Linked DNA regions of Arabidopsis thaliana. The protein of the gene in region 2 interacts with the protein of the main gene of each other region in a pairwise test. Each region holds a gene or a part of one and is shown on either strand. Other genes may lie near its edges. The genes, in order: AT2G22880 and MKS1.

Region 1 (3,182 bases), on a different chromosome or scaffold from region 2:
AACAATGTATGTGGTACCAATTCTGGCTTTTGTGTGTTCAGTGAAATGTTGCTTTGAGGACTTGTTAAATGACGTTTTTCGATGATTTTTCAGGTACCGATGACTTTCGTGTTTACGAAATGCGATAAAATGAAAGCAACGAAAGGGAAAAGACCTGATGAGAACATTAAAGCTTTCCAACAAATCATTAGAGAGAATTTTAAAGTACATCCTCCTTGGATTTTGACGAGTAGTGTATCTGGTTTAGGCAGAGACGAGCTTCTTCTTCACATGTCGCAGCTGAGAAACTACTGGGATCAATAGGTAGCGCGTAAATTTCGTAAACAAATGTTCGAAAAGGTCGGTTTTGAATCATTGGTTATATCAAATTGTAGTTTTGTAATGTAACAGTAACTTTTGTATTTAAAGATAAGATCATAAAGTGTTACTACTACAGTTCTAATTCTGATGAAACAAATTCATGAATTGCCGAAAAATTGGCAAGAATAGCTTCTTTCTTGCTACCATCTTGATAGATTAGCAGGACTAAGCAGAGGGAAAGCTTCCCAGAACCGAGATGACGAAGGTGAAAGATCAAACGCGAACGGATTATCCTTAGCTGTTGTTGTATCATCAGAAATCTTGACTGGTTTAGCTTCAACTTGATGTACCTCTTGCTCAACGTCTTCTGCACCAGTTAGCCTCTGAACTAACTCCTTGAAGTTAACAGGCTCGACTCTGTAAACTTTAGGATGCATCCTCTGAGGCAAGCCCGTTACGGGTTTTTTCCATGGCTTTGCCGGTTGCTTACGGGTCGAATGAAGTGAGGAGTTATGAGAGAAACATGGTTGTGAAGTAGCTTCCATGACGATCAGAAGTTTCTGTAATACACAAATGATTTGAAGCGAAGTGTCTTACCTTGATGGCTTTGTGTGTACACATATAAGTATTTATAAGTGTGTGGACGGCATTATTATGTCAACGTTTTGAAGCGTGTAAGTCATTTTGGGTTTTATGATCTTCTTTTGCGGCTTACTTGGTTTTTGACTTTTAAGTGAAATGAATGGGAACGAGATGGGATGATTCATGGAATTGAAATGTCAACGTGGGTGTGCTAACTATTTTTATTTTCTTGTTTATTTAAATGTTAGGTGAAAAGCAATGAGTACATTTTTGGATTAACGTAGTTTTTGTTAAAAAATAATCTAGATGACATGGCAACGGTGTCATTAGTAACATGGCATTCATGTCATCATTATCATCAAATATGTGGTATCTAACGTCAGCAGAATATATAATTTTGCATATAATTTGATAAATTAGGTATGTAATTTAATTTTATTTAAAAGATTAAGTATATATTAACGCATAAGAAATTATTAGATATAAATTAAACATTTGAACTTTGGTTGGGTGGTATGAAATAAGGTTGTGCCTTAATTAGTTACCTTCCGTTAGGATCCTGAAAACTGTTTAGGTCCACAACTACACAATATAACAAGCAAACAAAACTTTTGCTTCCGAGTGTCAGAGTAAAAGCAATAATGTAAAGAGATATCTCGATAAGTGATGAGACTCAATTATCCGCATAGAAAAAAAAAATATGTATAACGGAGAAAGATATCCTATCTACAAACCTTGAATATCACTTTCCATACAATGCAAACATTTTAGAAATTGTTACATTTACCCAAAAATGATATATTAAACTTATCAAATCTATCACAATTGTGATCTACATGTTTTTAAGTAAAAGAAAACATTTGGTTTTTGACATATTATATCTTAAACTAAATATAAATTAATCTCGAAGCCGCGGCTAAAAAATCGAGTTTTTCCCACTTAAAGCGAAGAATATAGCTAAAAGTGACGGCTAACATTTGGATATGTCGGTTTCTTCCGTCATTCGTAGTTTGGCTCGGTCCATGACCTCGGTCTCACCCCAAGTTGGATATACAACACCATCTCCATTGCCTTAAAGACATTGCTTTCATCCAAAACCTTGTTCCACACCCCACTCACTACGCAGTAATTGTTGTTATACGGTGCTCGGTGATGATTCATGTGATGTATCCGTGAAACAAGAAGCCCAATGTCTTGCAACCCAACCACAAGAGGTGGAAGCTTGCTCTTCGTTCCATGAGCCCAAGCATGGAACAACTGACAAAACAATACACAAAATGCAAACATGCTTACAAAGCCATGAACCACATGGTCATCAAAAGCAAGGTCTAGTGGGAGAACTATCAAGGTTGTGCCTCGAGCCATAAAATGTAGATTGTTTGCAAATTGCCGTTTGGTGATTGTCCATGGACACTTGTGATGATCTTGAGAGTCTTCGATATGGATTCCTACTAGAGGCGTAGACTCATCACCGTAGTTATCGGTGGCCCAGTGGTACACACCAGAACCTAGATCTGCTAAGATATACCCGGCGAAACCGGCTAAAGATGGTTCGAGCCAGAGATGAGAACCAAATGCTCCAATGATTGATTTGGAAAAAGAGACAAACACGGTGGTGCAGCCAGCTGCAACCCATAACCGGTGAGTCCATGTAGATTGTAGAGTTGGGTCGTTGGAGAGAGGAGGATTCACAAGTCGTTGCTCAACAACAAGCTTCATCTCATGGTTAGGCTGAGAGTTGGTGGTGGAAGTGACACGGAGAAACGATGGACGGTGGCTTCTTGGGATGTTGTTTGTGATGGGATTTAGAGTGTATTTGGTTTGAAGAGATGTAGCCATTGAAGCAGAGTATGTGATGTCTGAAAAGATATATCAAGTTTCTTGTTTTTTTTTCCAAAGCTAAATAAAACAAGGATATGTTTTTTTTTGTGACAGGATAAAAAAATCATTTAAAAGAGATAATTTTGACCAAAGAAAGTAAGAGAGTATTGAGATAATAACATTCAAAGAAAATCTCAAAAAATTTGGATTAATTTATGAAGTTACCAACTAAAACCTAACATTAAAAAGTATTATTAAACCCAAAATTACTCGTTAATACAGATTTCTATATATATTTATTTTTTCTTTAGAGAAAACTTTAGGAATAAAAAAACATTTACTTGGAGATGCGTTAAAACAAAAATAAAATATTCACTTGGTTTAGAGATATGAATTGGGTATATAATCAAGGAAATATCAACCACCATCAAAGGAACCAAATCACCAAAAGCATATAGAGTTCTTCATAACCACACACA
Region 2 (3,818 bases):
GAGTATTGGCATCCCAACCCGTGTTCAAACTGCTTTCCGCATGTCGGAAGTCGCAGAGCCTTACATAAGAAGACGAGCAATCAGACATCTAGAAAAAGGAAGGGTTGTAATATTTGCAGCTGGAACAGGCAATCCATTTTTCACCACCGATACTGCAGCGGCTCTTCGATGTGCTGAAAGTAAGTAAAGAGGTGGTTTCCGTTTAAGTTTTCTCCAATGATTATTCGCAACACTAAAAAAAAACTTTTCGCATTGGACACAGTTAATGCAGAAGTAGTGCTGAAAGCAACAAATGTTGATGGCGTGTTCGACGATGATCCTAAAAGAAACCCAAACGCTCGTCTGCTTGACTCACTAACTTACCAAGAGGTCACCTCAAAGGACCTCTCTGTAATGGATATGACTGCTATCACTTTGTGCCAAGAAAATAACATCCCAGGCTTGTTTTCTATAACACTCTCTCAAACCTTGACCACATGCATACATGATCATCTAAAATACAACAAGAATGCTTATTTAGTTCTGTGTCAATTTGCAGTTGTGGTATTCAATCTTTCGGAACCTGGGAACATCGCCAAAGCAATCAAAGGAGAGAGAGTTGGTACATTGATAGGAGGAACTTGGAACTCCATTGTTACAACAACCTCATGAAGAAGCCTATTCTCAAAACACAAAACTTATTAGAGTATCTTAGGTCAGGAGAATCTTGTAACTCCTGTATATATTAGTTTGCAGACAAGTTTTACATTCTAGGAATCTGTCTGAAATTTTTGAAAGTTAATCTTTTTATACATGAAGCTCATTTTAAACCCTTTGGGCTACTACATTGGATATGTCAAAATACATAATACAAAAAAATTACAGAGCAAAACACCAAAAAAAAATCTAATCTTGATCCCAAATATGACTAAAGAAATCAGCAAAAGTTGGTGAAGCTACCAAACTAGTAAAGCCAGGACTTCGAAACGGGCTCATAAATCCCGCCGGCGAGAATAATCCCAGTGGTATAGCCGGCGAAAACATCCCACCTTGATGATACATCGGAGAGAATATCCCGGTAGAAGCTGTTGGCAACAAGGCCGGAGATGGCGAGAGTATTCCCGGAGCATAACCACCAAATTCAGCTGCTTCTTCCATAGCCGTGTTGATTTCCACCGTCTCATCTCTCGCAGCCGGTTCTTTTCCTCCTCTTGGACTAGCATTTTCCGTGGACGCTAGCCTCGCCGCCGGTGAAACATCTCCACCGCCGCCAGATTCGAGGAAAACACCAGAGGAGATCCCTGTGAGTCGCTGGACTACGTTCATGAACTCAGACGCGGTTGCGTGTACAACCTTGGGGGATACGGCGTAGATAACCACCGGCTCTCTAGGAATATACGGCGGCGGTTGGTCACGATTTGGCGGCGGCGCAGGGTGTTTTGGAGGTTTCTTGATTTTGTGAGAGTCTTTGTGAACACTAAGAGGTGAAGGACGAGGACCACAGATCTGAAGCTGCCGCTTCTGGTTCTGTTGATCGGAAGGATTGCCGCCGGCAAAATACTCCGACGGATCCATACTTGGGAAGCTTCCTTTTTTAGAATCAAAACTTGTTGTTCTTCTGCTCTGTTTGGTTTGGGAATTGAATGTTTTGGCGACTGAGAAAATTGACCAAAACAACAAAAAAGAGAAAGAAATAAAAAGTCATCAGAACGATTAGTTTGACTTTAAAAAATGTTGACTTTTTGTGTCTCCAACCAAATTGTTACAGCACATGCTTAATTAGGAAACTTCCATTCTTGTCTTAATGTTAGATAATTAATTAGTAGGAAAGATCTTAGGAATCAACATTATCAACGGCACACAGTTATATATATTAGTAATGTTGTCAATCATTAACATACAATTATTAGTGATAGTTCTATTTAAGTTTTACAAGTTCTAGAAGTTGCAAATTATGGTAACAATCAATTTCTTTCTTTCTTAGTACCTAGCTAAGCTATTAACGTCTGCATGCATAGAAGTAACAAACCTAATTAAGACCTATCATATGAGTTGTTAAAAAAAACAAAAACATGTATATTGTATAGGGTGAGTTAAATATATATACTTAGAAGACTAAGTAATTAAGTATCTACCCATAGAAATCAGATATTTAGTTGTCTTTTGTCAGCAAAAAAAGAAGACGAAATTGAACCTATGACCAAATAAGATCTACATAAACATACTAGTCCTCGTTGAAACATAAATGATTTTATTAAGTTACCTGATAAAAGAAAAATAAACTGGCTTTGGTTAAAAACATTTCTACATAAAAATATTACTAGTCTAATAATTTTTCCATATATAGATAATGATAACAATGAACATATATTATGAGGATGGTTGCTAACAGGCTTTCATTTGTTTATCCAAAGCCCATATCAATTCTAGTTTGGTCCAAGAAAATAGCTGATCAAAGTTTGAAACTTTCGAGTGTAATAATATTTTCAAACAATTCGAATAAAATAAGAGTGTATTGAGAAAGTAGTTACTTTTTAAAACATAATTTTAAAAGTAGTCATTTTATTATTTATAATTGTAAAGTAATCATTTTTCGTATACTTACATATGTACAATACTTTTAGTATATATATATAAATATATATACTTTGTATATTGAATGTATTGTATAAATTTATGTGTACGAAAAATGACTACTTTGTATATTATAATAGTAAAGTGAATACTTTTATAAATTTATTTTGAAAAAGTGACTTATTTTCAACTTATTCCCTAAATTAATAACTATAGATATATTTTTTAAATTTTTATTTAGTTTAAAAACTACAAATTTAGGATTGTTTGAAAGCTACTAATTTAAAAAGATAAACTACTCATAGAAGATGACTCCAACATGGTCCTTTAGAAACCTCTCCAGTACTGTCGTTGAGTAGTGTGGGGGAATTGACAGACACTTGGTACTCGTGGTTCGGCGCCATATCGAGGTCCGAATTTGACGATGCCTTAGTATCAGGGAGGGCTGGCAACGACGGACATGGGTACTCCTCGCCTTGCTGAACCACATCCACCAAACACTACAGGTCGAAGGTAGACTCAATGGCTTTGTATTTACAATTTTGGTATGAAGAAAGCTAAGTTTTAAAAATTCTAACATATTCATAGTCATTGAGTTGTTTAGTGTTTTGCATAGTTTCTAGAGAATGTTTACTAGTGTCTGGTTATACATGCAAACGAAACAATTTCTATTGTCATGGTTCCAAAATAAAACAGAGCAAAACGTTGCATTTGAAACTACTAACAGTTATTATAGATGTAGATATGAACGTGACTATGAAAAGTTGGAACTTTTGTTTTCAAACTACCAAAATTTGGATATGAAACTAACAAACAAACAAAAAAAGTTCACCTTTCACTTCAAATTTGATGTTCTTAAACTTTAATCCGATTTCATTTTCCACAAGGACTGCCTTCTCTAAAAGATTAAGAAAAGGAAGTTGAAAAAGTTATTACAAAAACAACATAGAAAAAGTAGCATCTGAAAGTATTTAACAAAAAAATCTCACCTTTCATGTTAGTTTTGATGTTCTTAAACTTTAATCCAATTTGTTTTTTCACAAGGAATGCATTCTCTAAAAACTTCAAACCATTGTCCTGCTGAGGATTTCTCCTCGGCATGTGGATTTGACATTCAAGTTATAAAGCAGGTGTTTTAGAGATTCCTTGCAGAGATAAAAAATGGCGAGCGCGGTAAAGACTTCATTAAACATCTATCGGACGATTCTCTTCAAGATACAGAGGAGATTTTGAACTCCTTGGTATAGAAACATGAACTGCAAACA

Evidence for each region.
Region 1: the proteins of MKS1 (region 2) and AT2G22880 interact in a two-hybrid assay, tested with the Arabidopsis thaliana proteins (one study listed by BioGRID).

Annotation. Positions count from the first base shown.
Region 1 is NC_003071.7:9,740,619-9,743,800, forward strand, and holds AT2G22880 (VQ motif-containing protein), read right to left. Parts: upstream 846-3,182; coding exon 501-845; downstream 1-500. Other genes in the region: EMB2001 (P-loop containing nucleoside triphosphate hydrolases superfamily protein), read left to right, coding at 1-6, 94-303; AT2G22890 (Kua-ubiquitin conjugating enzyme hybrid localization domain-containing protein), read right to left, coding at 1,882-2,721.
Region 2 is NC_003074.8:6,428,870-6,432,687, forward strand, and holds MKS1 (MAP kinase substrate 1), read right to left. Parts: upstream 1,646-3,818; 5' UTR 1,555-1,645; coding exon 886-1,554; 3' UTR 665-885; downstream 1-664. Other genes in the region: AT3G18680 (Amino acid kinase family protein), read left to right, coding at 1-179, 263-651; AT3G18700 (uncharacterized protein), read right to left, coding at 2,853-3,028, 3,386-3,451, 3,543-3,630, 3,756-3,809. UniProt on the Arabidopsis thaliana protein: Regulator of plant defense response. May contribute to MPK4-regulated defense activation by coupling the kinase to specific WRKY transcription factors.